4 linked regions of the Mus musculus genome follow. The protein of the gene in region 1 purifies or fractionates together with the protein of each later gene. This does not show direct contact. Links are inferred from orthologs where the notes say so. Each region holds a gene or a part of one and is shown in the gene's direction. Other genes may lie near its edges. The genes, in order: Pex19, Nat14, Pxmp2 and Faf2.

What was found.
Region 2: the proteins of Pex19 (region 1) and Nat14 purify together in Homo sapiens (co-immunoprecipitation; 3 studies listed by BioGRID and IntAct, counting the BioPlex papers as one, with this or other methods). This does not show direct contact. The link is inferred for Mus musculus from reciprocal best matches to the Homo sapiens genes PEX19 and NAT14.
Region 3: the proteins of Pex19 (region 1) and Pxmp2 purify together in Homo sapiens (affinity purification with mass spectrometry; 3 studies listed by BioGRID and IntAct, counting the BioPlex papers as one, with this or other methods). This does not show direct contact. The link is inferred for Mus musculus from reciprocal best matches to the Homo sapiens genes PEX19 and PXMP2.
Region 4: the proteins of Pex19 (region 1) and Faf2 purify together in Homo sapiens (affinity purification with mass spectrometry; 4 studies listed by BioGRID and IntAct, counting the BioPlex papers as one, with this or other methods). This does not show direct contact. The link is inferred for Mus musculus from reciprocal best matches to the Homo sapiens genes PEX19 and FAF2.

What each region holds. Positions count from the first base shown.
Region 1 is NC_000067.6:172,123,617-172,131,123, forward strand, and holds the start of Pex19 (peroxisomal biogenesis factor 19), read left to right. Parts: upstream 1-3,138; 5' UTR 3,139-3,162; coding exon 3,163-3,232; intron 3,233-5,014; coding exon 5,015-5,124; intron 5,125-5,538; coding exon 5,539-5,704; intron 5,705-6,285; coding exon 6,286-6,371; intron 6,372-6,995; coding exon 6,996-7,157; intron 7,158-7,507. UniProt on the Homo sapiens protein: Necessary for early peroxisomal biogenesis. Acts both as a cytosolic chaperone and as an import receptor for peroxisomal membrane proteins (PMPs).
Region 2 is NC_000073.6:4,919,561-4,926,918, forward strand, and holds Nat14 (N-acetyltransferase 14), read left to right. Parts: upstream 1-3,025; 5' UTR 3,026-3,079; intron 3,080-3,085; exon of another isoform or gene 3,086-3,502; intron 3,503-3,647; 5' UTR 3,648-3,697; coding exon 3,698-3,769; intron 3,770-4,342; coding exon 4,343-4,891; 3' UTR 4,892-5,446; downstream 5,447-7,358. Other genes in the region: Zfp628 (zinc finger protein 628), read left to right, coding at 1-2,337; soluble scavenger receptor cysteine-rich domain-containing protein SSC5D, read left to right, coding at 5,933-6,419, 6,930-6,956. UniProt on the Homo sapiens protein: Probable acetyltransferase. May act as a transcription factor that regulates the expression of coproporphyrinogen oxidase by binding to a promoter regulatory element.
Region 3 is NC_000071.6:110,281,912-110,289,242, reverse strand, and holds the start of Pxmp2 (peroxisomal membrane protein 2), read left to right. Parts: upstream 1-3,074; 5' UTR 3,075-3,237; coding exon 3,238-3,359; intron 3,360-5,489; coding exon 5,490-5,597; intron 5,598-7,331. Other genes in the region: Pole (DNA polymerase epsilon catalytic subunit A), read right to left, coding at 1-10, 2,794-2,855. UniProt on the Homo sapiens protein: Seems to be involved in pore-forming activity and may contribute to the unspecific permeability of the peroxisomal membrane.
Region 4 is NC_000079.6:54,647,223-54,654,022, forward strand, and holds part of Faf2 (FAS-associated factor 2), read left to right. Parts: intron 1-1,069; coding exon 1,070-1,208; intron 1,209-2,755; coding exon 2,756-2,841; intron 2,842-2,936; coding exon 2,937-3,028; intron 3,029-4,820; coding exon 4,821-4,998; intron 4,999-6,800. UniProt on the Homo sapiens protein: Plays an important role in endoplasmic reticulum-associated degradation (ERAD) that mediates ubiquitin-dependent degradation of misfolded endoplasmic reticulum proteins.

The sequences.
Region 1 (7,507 bases):
GATCTAACTCACTTTTCTGGTGAACGCAGGTACTGCATGCACATGGTACACAGATCTACATACAGTAACAACCAAAACATTCATATACAAAAATACCACTTTCTAAACCTAGGATAACTTCAGCTAGTTTCAGGGTTAGCCTGAATGACCTTATCTCAAAAAAAACAAAACAAAAACAAAAACAAACAAAAAACAGGCTAGTGAGGTGGCTCAGCAGTTAAGAGCAAGTATTGTACTTCCAGAGGGCCTGGGTTCAGTTCCCATCACCCAGGCAAGGTGGCTCACAACCACCTGTAATGCCAGCTTCATGGGATCTGATGTTTTCTTCTGGCTTTCATGAGCGCCTGCACTTATGTCCACAAATGCACATACAACTGCACATAAATGCACAGCTGGAGACAGCTCCATTGGGAGGGTGTTGGCCTAGTATGGCAGGGTTCTGGACTTAGTTCCCAGTACGACATATGGCATTCGACCCCTTTCCTAAAAATAGATAAGTGCAGACATTTTATTTAGTTACTGGTGATTGAACCTGGGGTTTTGCACATGATAGGCAAGTATTCTACTATTGAGCTCTCTATAGCCACAGGAAAAAGATGTTCAAAATATGTATTGGTTTCTTTGTGTTTCTTTATACAGCTTCTCCTACAGCCTCGACTGGCCTTGAACTGACCTTGAATTTTTAATCTTCCAGTCTCCCAGCTCCTTAGTGCTGAAATTACTTGAATTTTTCATTTTAATCCATTTTAAATCCTTTCCTTTTTCTTTTCTTTTTCTTTCTTTTTTTAAATTAATTTATTTATTTGTAATATGTAAGTACACTGTAGCTGTCTTCAGACACTCAAGAAGAGGGAGTCAGATCTCGTTATGAGCCACCATGTGGTTGCTGGGATTTGAACTCAGGACCTTTGGAAGAGCAATCAGTCGGTGCTCTTAACACTGAGCCATCTCACCAGCCCCTTTCTTTTTTCAACTGATAATATATCCGTGAAGTTCAGACACCAGTCTTTAGACCTTTACTGTCAGGCCAGTGACATGGCGTAGGAAGTAAGGGCACTTGGAGGTCATGACTGACAACCTGAGTTTGATCATGGAGATCCGCATGGTGGGAGGAGAGAACTTGCTCCCCAGGGCAGCACATGACCTCCACACAAGCATCATCGTGTGTAGGCACCATTCCACCTATACACTCACAATTACTGCCCAGTGGTGGTGGCACACGCCTTTAATCCCAGCGCTAGGGAGGCAGAGGCCAACTGATGTCTGAGTATGAGGCAGCCTGGTCTACAGAATGAGTTCTAGGACAACCAGGGCTACACAGAGAAACCCTGTCTCAGAGGAAAAAAAATCAAAACAAACCCAAAAAACTAACTGCCTTGTGTATCTTTTTCCTGAGCCACTCAGTTCCTATTAGTTTTCCCCAAACAGGTAACTACTTACCAGTTTCCTTATGGCCTTCAAAAAGTATATATTTATAAGTATATCACTGTGTTTTTCCCCACCTTCCTTTTATACATGGCAGGAACATAATCTTTTTTTTTTTTTAATTCAAGACATTTTAAAGTTTTATATGTGTGTTGTGTGTTTAGGTTTTCCTCATAGTATCTGGGTTATTTATGCTGATTATCAGCATTGCTGCAATGAGTAAACTGGAACATACATTGTGTGTGTGTGTGGGGGGGGGGGAGTGTGCCTGACTGAGGAGGAAAAGCTGCTCCAAAGAGCACAGGACTTTAGTGTTTTCAGATTTAAGAGTTGCTTTCTTAAATATAATCCTCAAACTAAGACTGCTTTCTCAAAAATGTGTATATTACGGGAATATTTTCTTAAGTTTTATACATTCTTCCTTCAAGGTCAGGCAAGAATCTGGCACAGCAATTCACAGCCATAATTCGGATTCTTGGAAGGTTAAAGCAGAACAATTGGCTAAAGAGCAAGATGCTGTCTCAAAAAAAAAAAAAAAAGATATCATGGTGGTTAAAGAGATGGCTTAGCTGTTTAGAGCAAAGACTGTTCTTGCAGAGGACTCAGGTTAGTTCCCAGCACCCACATCTGGTGGCTGCCAACCACCTATTGCTCTAGCTCCAAAGGGATTTGCCACTTCTTGCCAGCTGAATAGAAAAGAGAGACAGGTGTGGTGGTACACGCATTTAATGCCACCACCCTCGAGGCAGAGTCAAGAGTATTTTTTTCGTTCAAGGCCAGCCTGGTCTACAGAGTTCCAGGAAAGCCAAGGCTACATACAGAACATTCTCGATAAAACAAAAACAAGACAATCCCCCCAACACACAAAGAAAACTGAAAGAAATGATTCAAAGAAAGAATGCTTGTTTTTTAATCTGCTTAAGTAACATCTGTGTTTCCAATTCTATCTCCAGTCAACCTCTACAGGTAGGACCATCCCTGATCCACTTGTAGATTTCACTGTGCTCAGCACGATTGTATACAACAGTAGATGCTCATTATACGCTAAAAATAAATTGGATGATCTTTGTTTATCTGTTTTGTGTATATGTCAAGGAGCATATTCGGAGGTCAGAGCCAGCACATGATAGACATCTCTCCTACCACGTGTGCTTTGAGGATGAAACCAAGGTTGCTTCAATTTGGCAATCCTGTCTCAAGCGAAAAATTGCTCGTTTAATAGCTTCGTATTTTAGCTGAGCCCTGTGCTGTAATCTCTGTCCTTGGGAGGTGGAGACAGTAGGATTAGAAAACCCTGCCTGAAAACAAAACCCAGATTAAAGATTCCAGGTTAAAGATGGGGCAAGCAAAACGCAATAAACCCTCCCACCCCTTCTGACCCGCCCCCACAATACAGCTGGGCCTCATGGGTCAAGTAGTTTGGAAGTGGAGACGGGGAAGGGAGACCCCGATTTCTGGACCAGCTTGAGCAATCTATCTAGTTCAAGGCAAACCGCTGTGGCTCTGTAGCTCCAGTAGCCGAGTGCTTGCTTAATACGTGCAAGAACCTAGGTTTGAGGCCCAACCCAAGAAAAAAAACAAAAACAAAAACAAACCCAGTCTCCTGTCCCTTTAAAAATGGCGGTCCTGCACGGTAGAACGATATTATTGGCTGCTCAAGTCATGGGGGCGGGGTTGGGGCGGGGCATGTGGTGGCGCCAGTGGTTCCACCTCCTACGGCAAGTCGGAGGCAGTAAGATGGCGGCTGCTGAGGAAGGTTGCGGTGTTGGGGTCGAAGACGACCGGGAACTGGAGGAGCTTCTGGAAAGTAAGAGTGCACGATGGGAAAGACCAGAAGTATCGGGGAGAGGATCCATCGTGGGGGTTAGAGGAACTTGAGGTTTCTGAGCGGGGCGGGAGAATCTCTTCAGTGGTCAGCGGGGGAGGTGGTCTGAGTTCGACCCCGGCCCTCTTTATTAGCTGGCTGTGTCCAAACCGCACATCTCCCTGCGAAGGGGAACACTAACCGTAAAGAGCTGTTTCACGAGCCCCTTACAAACTTCTCTTGCTTTCGATTGTCGGATTGTTGTTGAGGCAAGGCTCTCTCACTCGGTATCCCAGGCTGATCTGGAACTCGCGGCAGTCTTTCAGCCTCCGCCACTGGGAGTACAGAGATCACAGGCTGGACCCACCAGGATCGCCTTCTGTAAATTATTAAAATCGCCTCTCCTTTCAGTAGCAGGATTCACAGAACAAAATAATCTTTAAGCTCCAAAGGTCCATATGTCCATGATAGTATCTTTCTTAACCCGAAACGCCTTTTTACCGCACAGTCTTTCCTCATTCTTTTACCAGACCCTTAGTTCTTTCGTGCGAGTAGTCAAAGAAGTCTCCTTTTAAAATTAGTGTGATGTTGAGAGACTGTCTCGTGTAGTTTTAGGCTGACCTCACACTCATTGAGTACTGTAGAGTGGCCCTGAACTTGTGATTTTTCCAGTCCCTTCCTCCGCATTCTCGCATGGCACCACAATGCCTGACATCCCTTATTTATCCTTTGGAGAAAACAAAGTGAGCCAGCCCCAGGGGAAAAGGTCTCCTCTTCCTGAAAAGATGGTGGACCTTCATCTCTTTCTTGGCCTTGCACTCCACTCCCGTTTCCTGCGCCAGTGAGGCCAGTGCCCTTTCCCTAGTCCTGGCAGGCAGAGTGATGGTGACAACACAGGCTTTTCAGGGCAGAGGTGAACCTTTTATCTCTTGCTCAGTCACAGCGATATAAGCAGGTAGAAAATGAACAGATGAAGTGAGGAGTGCCCAGTGACTGGCCTGGCCCAGGCTTACTGCATATGAGGCCAAGGAGGCTATAGGTGCCTGTTAAGGGCGATCTAAATTGGAGCATTATTTAAGAGTTAATACCTTCTTGTCGAATGTATCCTAGTAGTCAGAACGGTGGAAAGCCGGGTGGTATATTCTGTGCTTCCTCAACAGACGATATTAGCTAAGGCCTCAGAGTGAATTCCAAGAAATAAGGCTCTCTCTCCCCTCTTCTTCATGTTAGATGAAATGTGTAGGTTTTTGTTTGTTTGGTTGGTTGGTTTGGTTTTTCAAGGCAGGGTTTCTCTGTGTAGCCTTGGCTGTCCTGGAACTCACTCTGTAGACCAGGCTGGCCTCGAACTCAGAAATCTGCCTGCCTCTGCCTCCTGAGTGCTGGGATTAAAGGCGTGCGCCACCACGACCCAGCAGGGTTTTTTTTTTTTTTTAAGGGAATTTTATAGTGTGCATATAGAGATTTCTTTGCACAGCTTTTATTTAATTCTCTCCTCCTAATTCTGAGATGAACACTGGTTCTGTGTAAAAGGGTTTCCTTCCCAACTGGTCACAACAAACTAGATGGTTCTCAAGGAAGGTGGGAAGCCTATTGGCCAGTAGTCCAGGCAGAAGAGACACCAGAAAAAGAGAGAGAAGTCCAGGAAAGCCAGCACTTTGTATCATTATTTTCCTAAGAGTTTGTTTCAAATCACACGGCTGTCTAGCCCTTTCCACCCTCAACATCGCCACCACGTCCGTCTCTTGTCTCCGAAGGTGCTCTTGATGATTTCTCTTGTCTCCGAAGGTGCTCTTGATGATTTCGACAAAGCCAAACCCTCCCCAGAACATGCTCCGACCATCTCGGCTCCCGACGCTTCAGGACCCCAGAAGAGAGCGCCAGGAGATACTGCCAAAGTATCAATTCCCCCACTTAAGGGAGAGGGAGGATGGCCATGCAGCTCAGAGCAGGGATGGGGGGCCCTCTGGGCCAGAGGGGTGGCTGAGAGGGTGCCTTTGCCTCACACTGCTGAGTGTTCTTCCAGGCCTCAGTTCCTATGAAACGAGGACCTGTGGTTTTACGGAGGGCTAACGAGGAAAGAGGAAAGAGCGGTTTTAAGTGGTTGGCTTTGTATGCTACCTCATATTAGACCTTCAGTGGCCAGTCTTTGCTGCCCTCCGGAGAAGAGGTAGATGGAATGTTCAGTGGAGGTGCTCGTGGGAGGGGAGATGTTTCATTTCCCAATATGAGCTCGTTTAAGCGGCTAGCCCCAGGGTGATGCTATAGGAGGCAAATGTTGTCTCCCTCCCCACCCCACCCCACCCTTGCAGGATGCTCTCTTCGCCTCCCAAGAGAAATTTTTCCAGGAACTGTTTGACAGTGAGCTGGCTTCCCAAGCTACTGCGGAGTTTGAGAAGGCAATGAAGGAGCTGGCTGAGGAAGAGCCCCATCTGGTGGAGCAGTTCCAGAAGCTCTCAGAGGCAGCTGGGAGAGTGGGTGAGGAAACCCCAAACATAATACTGGACAGGCCTCTTAACTGATTGAGAGTACCAGGATTGTAAAATTGATGACCATCATGATGTCACAGCCATGGCTGGGGGTGGGGGGGTGTAAGGCAAGAGAAAGAGCTGTGGGAATCTAGCTTACTAAAAGGAAAAAGGTAAGATATTTTGGAAAGTAATGAAAAAAGATTATTCCAGCCAGGTGTAGTGGCTTATTCAATCCCAGCACATCAGAAGCAGAGGTAGACGAATCTCTATGAGTTTGAGGCCAACATGATCTGCATGGTGAGTTTTACAACAGCTGGAACTACAGAGTGAGACCGTACCTCACAAATCCTCACAAATCAATACGATTCTCCCAAAGCAACCCTTTTAAAGGAGTGTTACTGTGGAGAACAGCTAACACAGTACCAATATAGATTCATGGCATGCCCGTGAAGGTAACTACAGAACAACTAAGATTTGGAAGTGGTAGTAGCTTGCTAGTAAATGCTCTCCATCCAGGCTGGTAACTAGATGGGTGTAGACAAGCTGACAGTGAGGATCCTAGCTAACCCTGGGTCTTTTGTCTCCCAGGCAGCGATGCAAGTTCTCAGCAAGAGTTTACTTCTTGCCTAAAGGAGACGTTAAGTGGCCTGGCCAAAAACGCCACTGAGCTGCAGGTAAGGGGGAAGGAGTGAGGGGAGGCCGCTCTCAGTGCTTCCTAAGCAGTCTCACAAAACAGATGCTGGGTGGGGAGGGGGCCTGGAGCCATGGCTCAGCAGTTAAGAACACTGGCTGATCTTCCAGAGGACTAGGGTTCAATTCCCAGCACCCACATGGCAGCTCACGCCTGTCTTATCACTCCAGTTCCAGGGCTTCTGACATTTTCACACATTTTCTGACAAATTTACACACAGTCAAAAAAGAAAAAAAAAACATAAATAAGATAAAACTTTAAAAAGTTTACTTTTTAAAGTTTTTAAAAAAGCTCTGCCGGGGGGTGGTGGTGGTGGTGGCGGTGGCGCACGCCTTTAATCCCAGCACTTGGGAGGCAGAGGCAGGCAGATTTCTGGGTTCAAGGCCAGCCTGGTCTACAGAGTGAGGTCCAGGACAGCCAGGGCTACACAGAGAAACCCTGTCTTGAAAACAACAACAACAACAACAAAAAGCTTTCTGATATCTCTCCCAAATCTGGCCCCCTTTGGTTTTTGTTACAGGCAAATTTAGATAGTTCTTTCCACCGGAAAAAGTGGTAAGCATTCAGGGAGGCAGGGTGCCTGTTCACCTCTCTTTCTCTTGTCTAGAACTCGGGCATGTCTGAAGAGGAGCTGATGAAAGCCATGGAAGGGCTGGGCATGGATGAGGGGGATGGGGAAGCGAGCATTCTCCCCATCATGCAGAGCATCATGCAGAACCTCCTGTCTAAGGATGTGCTGTACCCATCCCTGAAGGAGATCACAGAAAAGGTTCGTGAGTTTCCATTGCTGGCTTGAATCCTCACTTCAGTGTATCAGCTCGTGGGCCACTTTGCTGAGACGATGCATAGTAAAGGGGTAATTTGAATGGACAAGTACGGTTTTTTAAAACGCCTTGTTTGTCACAGTTGTTATTGAGAGTATTAAGCTGACCATCTGTCCACGCTGGGAATGTTTGAGCTAAAAGGGGAAATTTGCACTCTAGTTTTCTATAAATTAGTTCAAGACTTTGAGTTTGACTGATTCATTCTTTCTTATATATTTTTAAGCTTTATATATTTATTATATGTAAGTACACTGTAGCTGTCTTCAGACACACCAGAAGAGGGCATCTGATCTCA
Region 2 (7,358 bases), on another chromosome or scaffold:
GAGCCTCCAGCCCCACCACCCCAGCCCCCACCCGTGGTGCCCGAGCTTTTTTTGGCTGCTGCTGAGACTACAGTGGAGCTAGTGTACCGCTGCGATGGCTGCGAGCAGGGCTTCAGCAGCGAGGAGCTCCTCCTGGAGCACCAGCCATGCCCGGGGCCCCCTGTAGCCACCCAGTCCCAGGATGTGCCTGCCGAGCTGCCCCAGGCTGACTCCGCCCTACCACAGCCCCCACCTGCCACTCCAGGCCCTCCTAACTTTGCTTGTCTTCCTTGTGGGAAGTCCTTCCGGACGGTGGCTGGCCTGTCCCGTCACCAGCACAGCCATGGTGCGGCCAGTGGACAGGCCTTTCGCTGTGGCAGCTGTGATGGTGCCTTCCCACAACTGGCCAGCCTCTTGGCTCACCAGCAGTGTCACGTGGAGGAGGCGGCAGCCGGACGCCCACCTCCCCAGGCTGAGGTTGCGGAGGTCACCTGTCCCCAGGAACCTGTAGCCCCAGCCACTCCTGCCCCACCCCCTCCTCCTCCACCTGCCCCGGTGGTTTCTGCAGAGCGGCCCTACAAATGTGCCGAGTGTGGGAAGGCCTTCAAGGGTTCTTCCGGGCTGCGCTACCACCTTCGGGACCACACAGGTGAGCGGCCCTACCAGTGTGGGGAGTGCGGCAAAGCCTTCAAACGCTCCTCCCTGCTGGCCATCCACCAGCGTGTGCACACAGGCCTGCGAGCCTTCACCTGCGGCCAGTGTGGCCTCACCTTCAAGTGGTCGTCCCACTATCAGTACCATCTGCGACTTCACTCGGGTGAGCGGCCCTATGCCTGCACTGAGTGTGGCAAAGCCTTCCGTAACACTTCGTGCCTGCGGCGCCACCGGCATGTGCACACCGGTGAGCGGCCCCACTCATGTAGTGTGTGTGGCAAGAGCTTCGCACAGACGTCCAACTTGCGGCAGCACCAGCGGGTGCACACGGGCGAGCGCCCCTTCCGTTGCCCGCTCTGCCCCAAGACCTTCACACACTCCTCCAACCTGCTGCTGCACCAGCGCACTCATTCTGCCGAGCGCCCTTTTGCCTGCCCCATTTGTGGCCGTGGCTTTGTTATGGCTGCCTACCTGCAGCGGCATCTGAGGACGCACACCCCAGCCACCACAACTTCGGGCACCACCGGCTCTGCTGTAGCATCGCAGCCCCCTGCCCCATTGGCTGCAGCTCCAACTCCACTGGCTGCTCAAGATGTTCACGTACTCCCTAACCTACAGGCCACACTTTCACTTGAAGTAGCTGGGGGAACAGCCCAGCCTACGCCCCCAGGCCCGGCTGCTCCCAGTTCTCAAACATTTCTCCTGGTACAGACTGCCCAGGGCCTCCAGCTGATTCCAAGCAGTGTCCAATCCCCTACTCCTCCACCCCCGCCTCCACCCCCTAAAGTCATTCTGCTGCCTCCTGCCAGTGCTGGAGGTCCGGGCAGTGGTGCTGCAAGGCCAGGCCCTCGGTCTGTTGGGAAAGCTGGACAGGGGACAGGGGTGGTGTGGTTTCCAGGCCCAGGTGGTCTGGGGCTGCAAGGAGGGGCCAATGCAGGGGCTAGCGGGGGAGGGCAGAGCCTCATTGTTCTGCAGAATGTAGGGAGTGGGGAGACAGGACCACAGGAAGTGAGTGGGGTCCAGCTTCAGCCAGCACAGGAAGTGGCCACGGTACAACTACAGCCTGCACAGGAAGTGACTACAGTCCAGCTACAACCAGCACAGGAGGTGACTACGGTCCAGCTCCAGCCCCTGACAGGCCAAGTCTCCAATTCTAATGGAGGAGCTGGCACTACAGAAGCTCCAAACCTGCTGCTGGTTCAGAGTGGGGCAACTGAAGAGTTGCTGACCGGCCCTGGGCCCGGGGAAGTGGGAGACAGTGAGGCCGGTGCTGGTGTGGTCCAGGACGTCCTGTTTGAGACACTGCAGACAGATGAGGGGCTGCAGAGTGTGCTGGTGCTGAGTGGGGCGGATGGTGAGCAGACTAGGCTCTGCGTGCAGGAGGTGGAAACGCTTTCCCCCGGTCTGGCGGAGCCAGCGGCCACTGGCCCATCAGGACAGAAACTCCTTATCATTCGTAGCGCCCCAGCTACTGATCTGCTAGAAAATAGCAGCGTTGCAGGAGGCACCACAACACTGCAACTCCTGGCCCCGTCAGCACCTGGCCCGGTCTCTGCCCCTGTGGGGGTGCCCGTAGCTCCCCCGTCCCAGATGGTACAAGTGGTCCCCGCAGTGGCTGGACCAGGGGTCATGGCTCCCCAGAACTTGCCCTCCATCCAGATTGTGCAGACTCTTCCTGCAGTCCAACTGGTACACACGTTTTGAAGAGACCCCCTCCCCGCAATTAACTGTTCTCCTCAGCTGGGCTGGGGTCAGCCCCAGAGTCAGGGGGGCTGCTGGCTGGACTTGCTAATAAAGACCCAGAATCTCTTCCTGGTTTTGTTTTCATGGGGGAGGTATAGTCATGGGCATAGCCCCTGCTTCAGACCTGGAAGTCTTCATTCTTGCTTCCCGGATCTGAGGTGACTTGCTTTGTACTTGGAGGGCTAAATGCTTCTCCGGGGTGGGGTCCAGCTCCCCCATCCTTTAAACTGTTAAGGCTTTTACTGTGCTGGGGGTGGGAGGGCGGGTACACTTGCAGAGGACAGAGAGACAGTGGGAGTCAGTCATGTGGGTTTCCTTTTGGCAAGCTCTCTTACTCCCTGAGCTATTTCTCTGGTCCTTTCCCAACCTTTGTATGTATTCGTCTGTAGTTGTACTTATAGCAGGGAGGGTTAGGGATCAATTTCTGGATTTTCCACTTCTTTCCTATAAACCACCCTTACCTCACCTGAAAGGTAGGTAGAGGAATATTATTAATTCAAACGATACCCCAGGTGCCTCCGGGTTGAGAATAAGGTCTCAGCTGATGGGGATGCTTGATGCTACCCCTCATCCCTTCCCTCAAAGACCCAAGCGCCAATGAGATTAGGTTCACAAGCAACGCCTCCTCTTCCTGATGCTCAGGTCGCTTAGCAACGAAGGACCAGCAAGAAAGGAGCTGTGCTAATCCTCCCAGGCAGGCCGGGTAAGAAACCCTCTCTGTCCCCCACTCCCATCCCCCCTTCTCCAAGGTTCTCCCACTGGCCTCCAGCAGGTCACAGCTCTTCCCTCGTCCTCGCAGTTTCCTCCATTACTCCCAACCCCTGCCCCATAGTGGGGGAAGCTTGGCAACAGTTGCTAAGGTGCCGGTCTTGCCTCCAGTCGGGAGCGTGGACGTCACTTCCGGTGGTGACCCTCTCCTGCCCCTGCCCCCCTTCTCCCTTACTGTCAAGGGATTCGAGCAACCCCGTGGAGGTGCCTTTCAGGGCCCTGTTTCTGCTATGTGGGGTGGGACCACTTCAGGAGACCGGCTGCTGGAGTTTGGATAGGGGATGAGTTTACAGGCAGATCAATGAATGTCTTCTCCGGAGTGGGGGACGATTCGGGACGATTTTCAGAGCCCCACTGGGTATGGAGGCACCTGGCCTGCCACTGTGACAGTCTTCTTTGGCAATGCTCTAGGGTCCTTGGCGATCTGGGAAACACTGCGGCCCATCCCTCCCAGGGCTCTTAGAACTCAGGTGCCCACCTAACACCAACCTACTTGTTTTCAGCAGGTGTACAACGTCAGCTCCCTTGGGGAGGGGCCTGCCTGGGGGCTACCATGGCCCCTAACCACCTGTCAGTGCGGGAAATGAGGGAAGATGAGAAGCCCCTGGTGCTGGAGATGCTGAAGGTGAGAGGCCGGCAGGGGCACCAGTGAGCATGCGCAGCTTCTTAGGGCCATTCAAAGTGGGTTCCATCAGCCCCGCCCACCTGCCTGAGCTCCGGGGGTCCTGGGGGAGGGGATTTTCGCCTCAGCTGTTTTTAATTGGTCTCTTTTCTCTACTGCCTTCTCCCTACTTAAACCTCAGCTGCCATTTTTAAAAAAGCAATTGAAAGGGTGTAGGGGCTGGGTGTTCAGGTCTCTTGACCTCCATTCAGCCCCACTTACCAGTCCCAAAATGAGGGCTACTGAGACACACACACACCCCAGACCTTCCAGCGAAGAGCCCATGTCTTCACTTTGCCTATCCTGTTCAGTCTCCTTTGGTGCGTTACCTTAGCATGCCATCCGGACTCATGGGCCTCAGGTCCTAAATCAGTTCATTTCATTCGGGCAAACCGCATTCATTCGCTCAGCCCTTAACACCCAATGGGCCAGACTGGGACCACCCCATCCGCTGGCTTCTCTTCTCACTTGAGAAGAGAAATCCTTCCTCGGAAGTTCTTATGTGATGAATGGCTGAGCCTCTACTCCCACCCACAGGCTGGTGTAAAAGACACGGAAAACCGTGTGGCCCTCCACGCTCTGACACGACCTCCAGCCCTTCTCCTCCTGGCTGCAGCCAGCAGCGGACTGCGCTTCATCCTGGCCTCCTTCGCCCTGGCCCTCCTGCTGCCCGTGTTTCTGGCTGTAGCCGCTGTGAAGCTGGGTTTGCGAGCCCGATGGGGCTCTCTGCCTCCACCAGGCGGCCTGGGAGGGCCCTGGGTGGCTGTCCGTGGCTCCGGCGATGTGTGTGGAGTCCTGGCTCTGGCCCCTGGTGCCAACGTGGGGGATGGAGCCCGAGTCACCCGCCTCTCTGTCTCTCGATGGCACCGTCGCAGGGGCGTGGGCAGAAGGCTGCTGGCCTTTGCCGAGGCTCGAGCCCGAGCATGGGCTGGAAGTATGGGGGAGCCTCGGGCCCGGCTCGTGGTCCCAGTGGCTGTAGCCGCTTGGGGGGTGGCAGGGTTATTGGAGGCCTGTGGCTACCAGGCAGAGGGAGGCTGGGGCTGCATGGGCTATATGCTGGTTAGGGAATTCAGCAAAGACCTGTGATTAGAGACCATGCCCACTGGATAGATGGGCAGAGAACCAGCACCTAAAGAACACCTACTGTGTGCCAGGCACTTTACATCCCCCCCTCAGTGTCTACCTAGTCTGCTGGGCTGATAGTGAAGCACCGAGGTTGATGGACTTACATTCCCAGTGTGCCTGCCAGCTGCAATGAGGACTCTAAACTCAAGTAGAACAAATCCCTTCTTGGTCTTCTGGGACCACTAGAGGTCACCGTGTCCAGTCCTTTGCCTCACCCCCACTGCCCCAGTCTGTATGCACTGAAAAACGTCGGGTTCTGGGTCTACAAAGCCCCTGCTGCCTGTGTTTGAGGTCTGGAAGGGAGATTTGAGGAAAGAGAGAGAGAGAGAGAGAGAGAGAGAGAGAGAGAGAGAGAGAGAGAGAGAGAGAGAGAGAGAGAGACTAAAAGTTAGAGTCTGTGACAGGGAACTCCCAAAGGGGACAGATCTTCTGGGAGTGGGTGGGGCCAGGAGCACAGTGTCTCCAAGCCCATCTGGTTTTTTACACTGTTTGTTAATAAACCCTGAAACTTCTGTGTGCCTGTCTCCTGTCTGATGCATTTTCCAGCTGCTCTCTCCAGACTCCCTCCTTCTGTCTGGCTCCTCCTCTCCGAAGAAGTTGACATTAATTGCTAGGGAAGTGTGTGTGTTGGGGGGGGGGGGGGGGCGCTGGGAAGAGGAGAAGCAGTGAGCTCACAGCGGCAGCCAGTCTTTGCCAGGCCTTCTGAGTCATGCTCCCCATTACCAAAGTTTTCCCCCTCACAGCTGCCTGGTGTGTGTGTGTGTGTGTGTGTGTGTGTGTGTGTGTGTGTACCCCCTCCAGACCGAAGCCTTGACCCCTCAGTCTCTCTACCCTCCATACCTTTGTTCTGGGAACTGGTAATAAGTTCAGACACTCTTTTCTCGAATCGGCACTGGGAGCTTCCCATCCAGATTTACCACAGTGGGTGACAAATGGACAGGAGTTTTTCAGTTTCTTTTCCTGATCTAGGAAGTCCCTCCTAGTATCTGGCTTCAGGCCCTCATGCTACTGCAGGATTCCCCAAAATCTGTCCACTCCCAGCTGCACTTACTTGCCTGGCTGGACAATAAGAGGAGGCAGAAGGGTGTGCCCTCAGCCCTGTCCCCCAGACACCCAGGCCTGCCCCTTCCCAGAGCTGCCATCCCCATAAGCATCTCTGAGCACGTGGCCCTCTGGAGCCTGGCTGGCCGCCTCCCTCCAGTGTGGGTGTTTGCACTTGAACACCTCCCTTCTGCCTGCCCCCCGCACCCCCCCCTCCAGCCTCAGCTGTGGCCAGCCCCCTCCCCCTCCTGTCCCCTGCTGCATCCCTGCAGCCTCTCTCCCTCCTGGCAGAGCCTTCAGCCCAGCCTGCTCCTAGCTGTCCAGGGCTCCTCAGCAGCTGCTTCCCTCCCTGGCTGCCTCCTCCTCCCCTCTCCTGCCCTCCTTCCCCTTTCACCCCATCCCCTGCCCCTGGACTCTGCGAACATGAGGGGCTTGGCCTGCCTCCTTGGTGAGTGATCCATTTCCTTGGGGGGGGGGGTAAGCACCTTAGGGGCCTGGACCCTTACCTCTGACCCAGTTAGCTTCTCCAGTTTAGGGGCTCATACTTGAGGGAGCCTGTTCTGGTCCCTGGTGCAGTGTGATATCCTGACATCTGGCTGGCCCCTCTAATCCCTGAGGGACCCAGCCTTCTGCACGTCCTGCCTAGCAGCTCAAGTGACCTGCCCTTTGTTGCCCTGTCATGTACTCTGTAGCGCTATCACTCCCACCATTCAATCTGGTCCCCAGTCCTGTTTTCAAGGGTCAGGCATCTGGGGCCCCACCCACCCCAGGGACCTGTAACTTATCCCAGCCTCCTCCCAAAGTCCATTCCAGCAGTGGGGTTTCTGACTCAGAGGTGTGAGGAATCTGACTGTGAATGGGTGCTTCCCACTGTACTGAGGCTGGGAGCCTGCACTGGGGAAAGGACCCCTCCCCTCTGATTTATCCTTCACTCTGTCCCCTCCAACCTCCTTTGCAGCAATGCTGGTGGGGATCCAGGCTATAGGTAAGTGTCCTGATTCTACACTTGGCCTCACCCCGCTCCAACTCCCCCCCTCTCCTTCTGGTCTCTGCTACCCCAATTCCACTCCCCAGACATTGCTGCCATCCAACAGGGACAATGAGTCTTCTCTAGAGTTAGCTGCACGCTGACCTATGGGAGAGGACCAAAGTTATGAGGCCAGTGATGGGGAGAGGAGTGGAAAGGTTATTTGACCCCCTTGTGGGGCAGAAGGACCGGGGATGCCTGAATTCCCTGGTTCACAGTGTCCTTCCACACAGCCCCCAGCATCTCTGAGACATTCCTCTCATTGCACCTGGGAGTCTGGGACCAGGGTCCAGCCTCCAGGGTAGCTGGCTTCCTGGTGGTAGCTTGTAAGGTAGTCCCCCTGCCTTGGTGTTACCGTAG
Region 3 (7,331 bases), on another chromosome or scaffold:
ACCATCATCCCTGAGTAAAAGAAGAGAACCAGGTTTCACCATTTAGACCCCTAACTTTCATCTATGTTTTATTGTTGTTTTGCTTGCTTATTTATTTATGTTTGTTTGTTTATTTATTTTTGCTACAGCGTCTCACTGTAGACCAGGCTGGCCTCCAACTCACAGTAATCAACATGCCTGTTTCTCAAGGGATTAAAAGTGTGTACCACCACGTTTGATGTTTATGTATTTCTGATATGGTATGGCATATACATTCCTGAAAAAACATCAAGGCTGGTAGAAGGCTCAATGAAAACAACAACAACAAAAAACAGCATTTCTAGGAAAAATACAACAAAAGCAACTCCCACCTCAAAACTCCCTGGCCTTTAAATACCATTCCAATGAGTAAGTTGGTAAAATAGACTAGAAAACTGTTTACCCAGATGCTACCTCCTCTTAATACGGGTTCCTCTAAGCTGTCTACCTTACTTTTTATTCAGCCATAGTACAAAAATCTAAAAGATGAAAGTACCAAAGAAGACTGCTTACAGATTACCTCAGACAGTGTGAAAGCGCTCTGAGCATACATTCTCAGTTCATTTTCATGATAGCACCTATGAAGAGGGCCATCTAGTTCCTCATTCAATGAATACGGAGGCAGTTACATATAAAGCCCAATCTTTACCACTACCTACAGCTTCAAGGAAACATGCTCACCTCACAGGACTGATTTAACGATTTCACGAGCCAATCCACATAAAGCACATGGGGCATAAAGCATAAGCATAAGCTAAAAGCTATTGCTAAGAGTACACAGGTGGACAAATTGGGTTATTTAAATATATATATGTGTGTGTGTGCATGTGTATACATACATACATACATACATACATATATGGTCTCTAAGTTGGAAAAGGTTATATATGGGAAGAATTGAGAGGAGTAGGGTATGTGTGTGAATATAACCAAATTCTTAAAAACAAAAGGTTTCTAAAAGGTTTTATTTATTTATGCAGCAACAACTTTCCATCTGCTCAAGTACATGGCAAAGTTGAATGACTAAGGGCACGTCCTTAGTTGATGATATGTCCTAGTGGTAGAGTATGTGAGGTTCTGTATTGCACTTCTAGCTACATATACACATGTAATATATAAAGTATATATTATATATACAACATACAATGCCACATGTAATAACATAATTATATAATGCATAAAATCTAATATATGTAAAATATATATTTATATATGCACATCAAATAGTTGTAAATGTAGATAAAGTACTTCACATCTCTCATCTCTAAACTGAAGTCTAGCATGAACATAACAGTATGAGTACTGCCCACCTCACGTGTCTTTCCATGGCATCATGGACATGAAGAAGTCAACACAGTAACTATTGTTACTGTTAGACTGAGGCTTGGATGTATGAAAAAGAACATAGCTCCTTTTTCTAAATCAGGAATGAGCTTGGTAGAGCAAGTAATAGCCTGAGAACCAGGGCCTTGAGGGCGCTGTGGATCCGGATCCTAAGAAATCATCTCTTCTCATCCTTAAGGGGCTATGGTTTTCTGTCCCAAGGCTGCTACCTGCTCTATGACACTGTCCCACCCACCTTTCCATAGAGGTACAAAACCTCTATGTAAGACACTGTACTTGGGGGCTTGAAGAAATGGCTTGGGGCTGGAGAGATGGCTTAGTGGTTAAGAGCACTGACTGCTCTTCCAAAGGTCCTGAGTTCAATTCCCAGCAACCACATGGTGGTTCACAACCATTTACAATGTGATCTGACTGGTGTGTCTTAAGACAGGACAACTACAGAGTACTCACATACATAAAATAAGTAAATACATCAAAAAAAAAAAAAGATGCTGTACTTCCTAATAAACTTGCTTGCATGAGCCATCACTCTGTGTGACACCTCCTGATCCTGAATGCTCTTATCTTCTCCATCTCCTCCTCATCCCCCTGGCCATCACTCTCTCAGGAACCTGTCACTGAAGAACCGCTTACTGGTCCAGGTCAATTACCCTGGCTGCTATGCAGGTGTTGTACAGCAAACCCAGAGCTTCACATATAATAGGAAAACACTATCACTATTCAGCTCTAACCGGGCTTCCACTCAATGAGTGCTCACATTCTGATACACAGTCTTTTTTTTTTTTTTAAGATTTATTTATTATTATATGTAAATACACTGTAGCTGTCTTCAGACACTCCAGAAGAGGGAGTCAGATCTTGTTACGGATGGTTGTGAGCCACCATGTGGTTGCTGGGATTTGAACTCTGGACCTTCAGAAGAACACTCGGGTGCTCTTACCCACTGAGCCATCTCACCAGCCCCTGATACAGAGTCTTATTCTGCCACAGTGTCACCAATCTCTATATACGATATCCACATCAGTTTCCTTTGTCACCATACTCTAGAATCTCTTGCTGATGTGATGCGTAAGGGTTTCGGCTTTTGGTTTAATAAATTGGTTTACTTCGCCGAGCTGGTCTAGACAGAATCTTCCTTTACTTTCCCCGTTCCCTTCTTGTCTGATGAGAATAGATGTTCACCCCTAGTCAAGTCACAGGGCAGGCACAGATATTTCTAGAGAAGCAGCCTGGGCCACGGAGTTGAGTTTAGCATCTCAATAAAAACTACGGAAACCACACAGGGCGAAGACGGGAGCCCGCCCTGTCCTCCGCGCCGCGCGCCGGGCCCGCTGTTTTCCCCACCCCTGAACCCCCGGACACCGCGCCCGCCCAAGCTTGCTCCGGCCGCGGCTACCGCCAGCGCCTTGGCAGCAGGACACCGGCTCTCACCGGCTGCCTTCGCCATCCGCGCCCGGCTCGGGGTGCCTCCGTCCACTGTTCCTCAGGACCATTGCGACGCTCCAAAGCTCCCTCAGGCTCCGGGGAGAATTTGGCGCGCTCTCCACGTGCTCTCGCGAGGCTACGGCTTCGGCCAATGAGAAGGCGCGGCCTCAGATGGACCTAGCCGGGGCCCGCCCCCATCGCCCCGCCCCGCCCCGCCCCGCCCCTCGGCTCTCCAATCCTCCGGCGAGCGCAGAGGGTGGGTCGCAGGGACCGGGGGAAAAGAGTGCACTAGCTGGCCGCGCGCGTGGCGGGACGGCCGGGCTCGCTGAGGGCGGAGGAAGGGCAGAAAATGTCAGGCCGTCCCCGCCCTGTGCCCTGTGTCCCGGGCCGGGTGCCCGACTGCCTAGCTGTTGGGTGGGCGCCCGGGGCGACTTAGACATCCGGACCGCGATGGCACCTGCGGCGTCCAGGCTGCGGGTGGAATCCGAGCTCGGGTCGCTTCCCAAGCGAGCGCTCGCCCAATACTTGCTGCTCCTAAAGCTCTACCCGGTGCTCACCAAAGCAGTCAGCAGGTGGGCGCCTACTGGGAAGTGGGGTGAAAAGGAGGGGTGCCGACAGGGGAGACTCTCCTGCAGGGGAGGTTAAGAGAGGGGGCGTCTGCAGACCAAGCAGCTCAGATATTGCCCGAGCAGCAGTGGATCTCAGCCTGTACGTCGGGAACCCCTTAAAGGTTGAACGACCTTTGTACAGGGGGTCACGTATCAGATATCCTGTATATCAGATATTTACGTTATGATTCACAACAGTAGCAGCATTACAGTTTAGAAGTAGCAGTGAAAGTAATTTTATGGTTGGGGTGACCACACCATGAGGAGCTAACTGTATTATTAAAGGGTCACAGCGATAAGAAGGTTGAGAACCACTGCTGTGGAGGAAGGCAGAGTTCTTCCTTAAGGTGCGACCCCGTTCTGCTTAGCCAGTAAGTGCTGTTTGTGTGTTGGGTCCCAAGCATTAGTTAGCCTTTGCAGTCTGAGTGTTGTGAAGACCCGCGAGTCAGGGACACATTCTAACCCTGAGCAACCCAGGCACGGTCGCTGGTGAACTCTGCCCTTTGAATTACATCGTTCGGTTTCCTAACGAGATATCCCTGTTTCTGTTCATTTCCATTAGTGCATTTTGTAGGTTCTGTATTAACTTAGCTTTTCCATAAGTGTGTGCAGAGTGCTTCCTGTGCGCGGGCACATAGCTGTGATCAGAACAGGCGCATAGACTTCTCTCGGAGCTAAGAAGAACGAGTCCATCTTCCCACCCCACCCCACCCCACCCCCGCAAAAGGCAGATAAATGTATAACTTAGAGCAGTTAGGGAAATTTCTCCTGGGTTGTTGACGTTGGTCAGAAGCACAGAGAAGAGAAGCGGTTGTTTACAGGGCACAGTAAGTGTAAAAGTTCTGGGGGAAGAATTCAGAGAATGTCGGAGGGGTGAAGAGAAGGACTCTGGTGGAGAAAATGACCAGGGAGAGTAGATAGGAAGAGGTAACCAGGGGTCAAGTCAAGAGGGTCCTTATGATCCATACTAAAAGTTTTGGATTTATAGCTTTTTAGAAGACAGCTGTGGTGGTTAAAGCTAGTTGTCAACTTGATAACATTTAGGAATTAAGCATGCCTGAGGGGCTTATCTTGATTATCTTCTTTGAGCTGGGAAGATCTGCCCACTAGGGGCGCCACCATTCCTAGTTGGTGTCTGACTGGAAGTGGAAAAAGTGAGCTAGCTGAACCGCACGCGTTTTCTCTCTCTTTTCATTGTGGGTGTGCTGTGAGGAGATCCTTCAACCTCCTGTTGCCTTCACTTCTCTGCCTTGATGGACTTGAACCTTTAACTGGGAGCTGAAATAAGCCATTGTTCTCTTAAGTTGCCTTTGTCTCATTTTTTGTTTGGTTTGGTTTTTGTTCATTTTGCAACATAAAAAGAAACTAAGAGCCAGGCGTGGTGGCACAAGCCTTTAATCCCAGCACTCGGGAGGCAGAGGCAGGCAGATTTTTGAGTTCGAGGCTAGCCTGGTCTACAAAGTGAGTTCCAGGACAGCCAGGGGTATACAGAAAAACCCTGTCTCAAAAACAAAACAAAAAAACAAAAAAAACACAAACAAACAAACAAAACAAAACAAAACAAAACTACAACATAGAGTTATTTGCTTAAATACAGCCCACAGACCATGTCCTTGTGAGGATCCCTCCTATTGCCTTTTACATCCATGCCTTCAATGGAGCAGCTGTGGGGATGTTGGAAGGCACACAGCCCCGCAGGTGGATGTCTCACTGTGCTCATCTGTGGTTTTCACTTTAGGTCATAGTGCCTCTATCTTCTGGGGCTTTACCTAACTTAGCAAGTTACTTCAATAGGGACTCATCCCATGATCTACACAGCAAGATCTTTTTTTGTTGTTGGTGGTTGTTTTTTGTTTTTGTTTTTCGAGACAGGGTTTCTCTGTATGGCTCTGGCTGTCTTGGAACTCACTCTGTAGACAAGGCTGGCTTCTAACTCAGAAATCCGCCTGCCTCTGCCTCCTGAGTGCTGGGATTAAAGGTGTGCACCACCACACCCGGCTCTACACAGGAAGATCTTACAGCAGCCGTGCTACTGCCATGCGGGACAGGCTCTTGTGTCTGCTGCTCATTTTCTGATTGTCTCTTCCTCTACAGCGGCATTTTGTCAGCCCTTGGAAACCTTCTGGCCCAGACGATTGAGAAGCGGAAAAAAGACTCTCAAAATCTAGAAGTCAGTGGGCTTCTCAGATATTTAGTTTATGGGTAAGTACCACAGAGATCTGCCTGCCAGCATTAGCCCTTCGGAATATGTTGGTTTAAAAAACCTAATTCTGAGGCTGGAGGATGGCTAAGCTAGCAGTGCTGACTGCTCTTATGGAGGACCCAGGTTTGATTCCCAGCTCCCATGCAGTTCATAACCTTCTGTAACTCCAGTTCCAGGAGGTCTGATGACTTCTGACCTCGTAAGGCCCCAGACACATATATGGTACACAGAGATATACCTGCAAGCAAAATATCCATGTACAAGAAATAGAAAGCAAAAAATTTAATTAAAAAAAAGAAAAAAATAATTGTTTAAGAAGCATCAGAGAAGCTGGGCGTGGTGGTGCACGCCTTTAATCCCAGCACTCAGGAGGCAGAGGCAGGCGGATTTCTGAGTTCGAGGCCAGCCTGGTCTACAGAGTGAGTTCCAGGACAGCCAGGGCTAACACAGATAAACCCTGTCTCCAAAACAAACAAAGACACAAACTTTGTGTGGATGTGTGGCATTAGAATTAAACCCAAGGCTTTGTATAGGTTACCACTGACCTCACGTATCATCATTATTTAGTTGGGTGTGGTAGTGCATGCCTTTAATCTCAGTACTTGGGAAGCCATCCTGGTCTCAGTGGTGAGTTTCAGGTCAACCAGAGCTACACAGTGAGACCCTGTCTTAAGCCAAAATAAATAAGTAAATAAATAAATAACCAGAAAGACTATTCCTGGGTGTGTGTGTGTGTGTGTATGTGTGCGAGCACATGTATGTGCCCACATGCATATGCATGCATGTGTAAATAAAAGAGAGTCCGAACCTCATATATCCTTTGGACTCTGTTGATCCCCTTGCCTCCTGAGTGCTAGGATTATAGATGTGCACCACCATATCTGTATAGCCCTGACTGTCCTGGAACTCACTTTGTAAACTAGGCTGGCCTCAAACTCAGAAATCCGCCTGCCTCCCGAGTGCTGGAATTAAAGGCGTGTACCACCACACCCGGCCTTTTGTGGGTTTTTTGTTTGTTTGTTTTTTGGGTTTTTTTTTTTTCAATGATGGGAATGAAACCCAGGATTGTTTGTTTGTTTTGCCTACTTGCAAAGTACTCTTGCATACTTGGGAAGTACTCTACCAACTGAGATTCACTCCAAACTCCACAAAAGCTTCCAAGAATAATAACTTGGGCCATTTATTAAAATGTTTAAAAAGCCACATCCCCCATACTTTGGCAAGTAAGAAGATCAGCTAAGGTACTTTAACACCTCTCACCTGATCTTGGCCTCCCAAAGACTTCCCTTGTTTGCCTTACTGTGGCCAAAAGAAAGTTCAATTGAAAACCTTGTTTATAGACTTTGGTAGAATTGAAAGACCCGGGTTCCTGCCCTTCCCTATATTACTGTACTTTGTGAAACTCAATCTGCTGGACTTGGCTCATTCCCAGGTGAACCAAGTGTGGACTAGAGATCAGCGCTTTAGGGAAGTCAGAGGTGATAACCAGGTTTTCTCTTGCCAGTTTCCCCTAAAAGCTTGATGAAAGGGCTGGAGAGATGGCTCAGTGGTTAAGAGCATGGACTGCTCTTCCAGAGGTCCTGAGTTCAATTCCCAGCAACCACATAGAGGCTCACAACCACTTATAATGGGATCTGATGCCCTCTTTAGACAGCTACAGTGTACTCATATGAAGAAAATAAATAAATCTTTTTTTTTTTTTTTTAAAGCTTGATAGAAATCTCTGGGAGCTG
Region 4 (6,800 bases), on another chromosome or scaffold:
GAGAAACCCTGTCTCAAAAACTAAAAAAGGGAGGGGCGGGGGGAGGAGAGAGAATAGGCTTAAGAACTGGTAAAGAAAGTTATCAGAGTTCACTCACCTTTTTCTATACTAAAAATTGAACATTGTTTGCTTTCCTTGGGAAAATATGCATGGCATGTTTTACTAATTGTAATGCAATGTTGTCATCTAGGCAACTTCCTGTGAAGTGTATGTAAAACATCCCCCTTTGCCTCATAACCGTGTATGGACACCCAGAGTGTAAGAATGGGTGTGATACGGCATGGTAGCGTAGGCTCTTTAGGGATAGTGTATGGACCCATGAGACACTGCATCCTTAGGTCTAAAGTAGCCACCAGTGTTCCACATCTTGGTCAGCTTTATGACTCCTCCCATGGATGCCATCACTGTAAACATATCAAGCAAATATACACGCCCCTTTGAAGAACAAATACATTGTGACTAAGTCCAGGTTTGAAGTGAAGCCCCTGTTGATACTTGAGTAACTTGAGAGTAGGAGCTGAACAGTCAGAATCCCAGAAGAACATAAAGCAGGGGATGCTGGGAGGAGGAGATGCAGCAAGGGGTCGTCTATTCTGCAGCAGTGTTTGTCATTGCACCTTTTCTTTCTTTCTTTTCTTATTTTTTGATTAAGACACGTTCTTTGTCTGCATTATTTGGTGTGCAAATCACTGACCACATACGTCTGTTGAGCACTTGAGACATGGTAGGTGTGGCTCAGGCACTGAATTGTAATTGTGTTTAATTTAACGCATTTAAAACAGCCATAAATAGTTAGTCGCTGCCACGTTAGACAGTGTCTGGGGTTTGGATCTTTCTTGGTCAGCCCTGCACTGGAATGTCGCTGTCTAGTGGTGTGCAGTCTTCTTGAGCAGAGAGCGGACACTTGGCAGTGTCCTCAACTCTCCCTTGAGGGTTAATGGCCACTCACTCACCACTCACTTCCCCTGCTACCACCCTCTGGCTCTGTTAGAAAAGTCTGTACAAACTGGCCCACTCCATATGCGCTACAGTAAGCCAATTCATGTGATATTTATTCCTTCCTCCCCAGGTTTGCTCTTCGTTTTATACGGCCTGACCCTCGCAGCCGGGTCACTGACCCTGTTGGGGACATTGTTTCATTTATGCACTCTTTTGAAGAGAAATATGGGAGGGCACACCCTGTCTTCTACCAGGGAACGTACAGCCAGGTCAGTGCCACGAACCAAATAGATGCCAACGTACCAATATGATTCTGTCCTCAAAGGAAAGTGTAGCTTAGCTGTGATCATGTTGCTCTTACACTCACAAAAGACTTAACTAGTTCCTCACTGGTTAGAGAAATGTAAACAGAGGCAGGACCAAGCCTTTTCTCTAGCCTCCTGGTCTAGCCCCGTTCTTGTGATGTCCTTTCTGCATAGCTTGTTTCCATTCCCTAGATTCCCACCGCACCCCTCCCCGAACACTTCCCCTCAGTGCCTGCTCTTGCTGCTCCTCCCACAAGGAGTGTCCTCTATCATTTTGGCTAACGGGTGCCTTGCCTTCCGCACCCGTCCTTCACACCAGCTCGGGCTGTTCTGGCCACTCCATTCCTTCCCTATCGCACCCTACCTTGCTTTCTAAAGTACTGACCTTCCTTCTTTTTTGTTTTCCATCCTTCTGTTCTTAAATTTATAGCAATTTTACATTCCTCCTTACATGATTTGTGTTCATGTCTTTGCTGTGTTATCAGACTGTACACACCTTCAAGGCAAGAGCAGAATTTGTTTTGATCTCTTACAAACTGAATAGGATTTAGACCATAGGCTCAAGGCAGCTCATTTGATTCAAACCAAGCCACAAAGACCTTTCATTTTCTCCTTTTAGGGAGGAAAGCTGGATTTTAGGCATATGTAGTTTGCCAGAGAACAATAAAGAGCAGCACAGACATGTGTTAAAAGGTGGCTCTGTTGTGGAGTATCTGGAATTCCTGATTCTTATCTGGAGAGGGGGCAGCTCACTCTTGCTTCTGCTTTGTCTCACAGTTGATCTTCATGCTGGCTGCTGCTCCCCACTCGCAAACATCACACACCTACCTGCTGTACACAGTTAGATCCCCTGCTTGGGGCCGCAGAGAGTGAGGGTGAGGGAGACAGCAGTTCTTTGCGTGATCTTGAGGGTAGACTACATTAGCAATGCAGGGAATTACAGGCAGTTAGTCAGGAGTATACCATTCATACGTGACAAGATTCGTGACAAGACACTTGCTTTGTCTCAGATCTTCTGAACCCTGTGCTCTTTAGGAAACCTTTGGGTGCCCTAGTGCTTCCTGCTTGCCTGTGTTCTTGCTGGATCCCACTCATCTTTGCAGCTAATTTTTTATTAGCAAGAATTTTGAAGCTGCAAAATTGCTTTTACATAGTCACAGTGTCCTGCTTTACCTTTAAACCATGAGAACAGCTGACTTTCTGTGACTGTCAGGAATTATTTGAGTCACTTCTTACATCCTCATGTGCCCGATGCAGCGTAAATTCTAACAGCACGAAAGGCTTTGCGTTAAAGTTGTTGGCTTGGGCTTTATAAGGAGAAAGATGCCAGGGATAGATGTAAAGGTAGAAGCCTGGGAAGTACTTAGTTTCTTGCTTCCCCTTCAACCCCACTTCCCTCCCCTCTTTCTAGTTGCTAATGTTGATTAAAAGTTATGTTCATCTGAACCCTTAGCCTAAATAGTAGTTCCAGACCTTAGTAGTAGTAAGTCATGATCTTTTGTCTCTCTAAGGCACTTAACGATGCCAAGCGGGAACTTCGATTTCTTTTGGTTTATCTTCATGGAGATGACCACCAGGACTCTGATGAGTTCTGCCGGTAAGTAGATGAGTCATTTTCTTTCTTCTCTGACTTTTTTGCTGATGGTTTATAGTTGGCAAATTGCTCTCACAATGTTTTATCTTGTTCCACAGCAATGCTCTCTGCGCACCTGAGGTCATCTCACTGATAAACAGCAGGATGCTTTTCTGGGCTTGTTCTACAAACAAGCCTGAGGGGTACAGGGGTAAGTCGTGTTCCTCTGCCTTACTGAGAAGGTTAGAGTATCCTTGGGGAAGTCTGGAAAAGCATGCTGTTGCATTCCTGGGTGGTGGTTCTCTGATAGACATAATGCTAGTTGCAGTTTTTACTTTCTGTCATTTAACTTTGTCAACAGTCTGAGAGATAAAGGTTGTATTAATTCTTCTTTGAGATTAATGAAACAACAACAGAGACATTAAGACAGATCCAAGAGCATACAGTCAGCGTACGGTTGTGTTTGAGCAGAGCAAGTTTAAGGCCCATTCTTTACAGCTAACCATTGCCAGAGACTCTGATTTTCAGTCAGTCCTGCCCAGCAGCTCAGTTCTAATTTTAACAGGCTTTTGCTAGGCATTTGTCTTCTCTATCCAGGCTTTCAGCAGAACTCTGGTTAATGAGTCTTCTGTTGAGTGCTAGAGCGCAGACAGCCAATGCAGGGAGTTCAGTCTTTCTGGCAGCAACTCTTAGTCAGTGTTTTTAGAAATCATCAGAAGATACAAAGATCCCAGTGGTGAGAATACAGTCATTTTGTAGCCTCTTTGTCCAGCAACCTCTGTATATGCTAACACCTAGGCATTGGGTGCCTGGTGTTCAGAACTAAATATAATACAATGTAGCTGTTTCTCTTGCACCTTAGTTCTTAATCTTTACTCCTAATTGATTTGTAAACATGGGCTATATTCCTGCAGCCTGTGTTTTGCCATTCTAATGTGGCTCTGTGGGGCTAGCAGGTAGATTACACAAAGGATACTTTTTGTAAAGAGTTATAAAATTTCTTTCTTTATAACATAGGATGCAGGGGTCTGGAGAGATGGCTCAGCATTTATTCTATAGGTCCTGAGTTCAATTCCCAGCAACCACATGGTGGCTCACAACCATCTGTAATGGGATCTGATGCCCTCTTCTGGTGTGTCTGAAGACAGCAACAGTATACTCACACATACAATAATAAATAAATTAAAAAAAAAAAAGAACATAGATGCAATTACATCATAGTAAAATTTGTTTATTTACAGAACAACTTTCTTACTTGGAGCAGAAAGCTAACATTGTTAAGGGAAGAAAATGAGGGGTGGAAGGAATTGGATGAGGAGGAAAAGACAGGAAGTGTATGCGCTGTAAAACCATAGCCACCAGCATGCAGCTGAGAATTTCAGCCTTGTCCCCAGTGGCTTTGACTCTTAACATCTGGAGAAATTATACTTAAGTGTAACATGGCTCTTTATAGTGCCTTTTCCTTCCGTTCAGTAGACATTATCCTAGAACCTTGTTACCTTTTCAGCATAACAGCAGCTTACCAAGAAGCCTCACCCTGGTCTAAGCACTCGCCTCAGTTTAGGAATACAAACGTGACAGAAAACAATGAAGAGACCAGGCAGGGCTTATGAGATGGAATTTGAGTTTGGTTATCAAACACAGGGGAAAGAGAGAACCAACTCTAGAAAGCTGTCTTCTAATCTCTGCACTCATCTTTAGAGGAAAAAATACAGCAGAGGGGCTGGAGAGATGGCTCGGTGACGAAGGGCATGGGCTGCTTTTCCAGAGGACCCGCTTGGCGGCTCACAGCTGTCTGTAACTCAGATGCAGGGAATCTGAGCCTCCTCCAGTCTTCCTGGGCACCATGCATGCATGTGATGCACGTGTGCATGGAGACAAGTGCTGACGCACAGGAGACAGAAATAAATCTCTGAGGGTATTTCCATCAGTGTGTGCAAAGTCTAAGGACTGATGTGTTTCCTCCCAACTCTTACGCTTGATCTCTTGGGTCTTTGTGTCAGTGTCCCAGGCCTTACGGGAGAACACCTATCCATTCCTAGCTATGATTATGTTGAAGGATCGGCGAATGACTGTGGTTGGAAGGCTAGAAGGCCTCATTCAACCTGATGACCTCATCAACCAGCTGACATTCATCATGGATGCAAACCAGACTTACCTGGTGTCAGAACGTCTAGAAAGGTACTGGAGATGTGTGCTTGGAAAACGGACTGACTTGGGGCTCCACAGACTTCTTTCCTGTGTCTTGGGCACTTTAAAAGCCTTTGCTTCATGTTGAAGAATAGCTTGGGCCGGGCGGTGGTGGCGGCACACACCTTTAATCCCAGCACTTGGGAGGCAGAGGCAGGCGATTTCTGAGTTCGAGGCCAGCCTGGTCTACAGAGTGAGTTCCAGAACAGCCAGGGCTACACAGAGAAACCCTGCCTCGAAAAAACAAACAAACAAAAGAATAGCTTGGAATGCTGAACATAGAACTTAATGCGAAGAAGGTGGACTGATTATAGCTTTTCTCATTACATGGATTATGTACAGTAGTTACAGAAAAATTGAAATGGTAAAGTCAAAGAAGAAATTTTAAAGCATTCATAATTTTAGGGTGCTTCTAGATTTGTAGTCACTTGTGCACACTCTCTGCTTACTCTGAAGATAATAACAGAAAACAAACAAAAGGCCCATTTACCTTGTCATACTCAACACAGATCACATTTGGCACCAGATGTATAGGTGGTTTTTTCCACACACCAAGCAGATCAGTTGTGTAGCAGTGGACAACAGCTAGGTGTCTAGTTTATCAGTTCTGTTCCAACCTCTGCCCCTGAGGCAGCATCAGATCCCACTGGGTGGGAGCTCAAGCCCAAGGCTGTCGCTCACCTTCACTGCTTTCACCCTGCACTGCTTTACGTGTGGTTTTAGAACTGCAGACCAAGACGCCACAGCTTGTGCTCTGATGACTGGGCTCAGACAGTTTAGTAGACTTGGTTAGCACTTAGTTAGCTTCACTTGTTTCAACTCTCGGGAAGTTGTTTGAGTTCTGTTCCTCTGGGATCTCATCCAGATGTCATTGCAGGAGCATGGTGCACACATAAGCAGCCACTCCAGGGTAGCAAGGAGATGGCTGTCCATGGGGGCTTTCTGTGGGAGCTAAGACCTGAGCTTTGCTCCACAGCACCCCCATGAAAGCTAGGAGCAGCTGCCACACTGAGCAGAGCAGAGACAGGAGGGTCCCGAGCTCTGCAGGTCAGTCAGGCTAGTCAGTGAGCAGGCTGCAGGGTCACTGAGAAACTGCCTTAAATACAACGTGGGGAGCTGGGGATGGCTCAGCGGTTAGGATCCAAAGGACCCCAGCTCAGTTCCCAGCACTAAAGATGGGCAGTTCATAATTCCAGCTCTGGGAGATCCAACTCCTTCATGGGCACCTGAGTATATGTGTGTGTGTGCATATATGTATATATATATATTCTCATTCTCTCTCTCTCTATCTTTCTCCGATTCTTTCCTCTCACTCACAAACACACCAATTTTAAAAATAAGAATAACTTTTTTTTAAAGATTGAGGACCAACCAGCAAGATCACACTTAATTTCAGGTAGGAGGAGAGTACTGCCCTCCACATGTTGTGCGGCACGCTTACTCCTTCTTCAGTACCATGTACATTTGAATAAGTAAATGTAGAAGGAAACATGCTGGCCTCTGTCTGACCTCAGTGTGGACCACTGAGGTGCTGGAGTGCTTGGCTCTGAGTGGGACAGCTGTGGCCCTGCCTCGGGGCTCAGGGGTGTCAGGGAAGAGGAGCAGAAGGAGAGTAAGGCAGAGGATGAGCGAGTCACCACACTCAAAGCCCCCGCCCCTCCCTGAGGGACTATTGGCCATCAGTGGGGAGTAGTTGCCTTGTTTCTGTAAATAACGCCCAACTACCCTCTGCCACAGGCCACATATGGAAGGACAGAGTCAGGAGGAATGAAGGGGATGAGAGTGGATTGGAG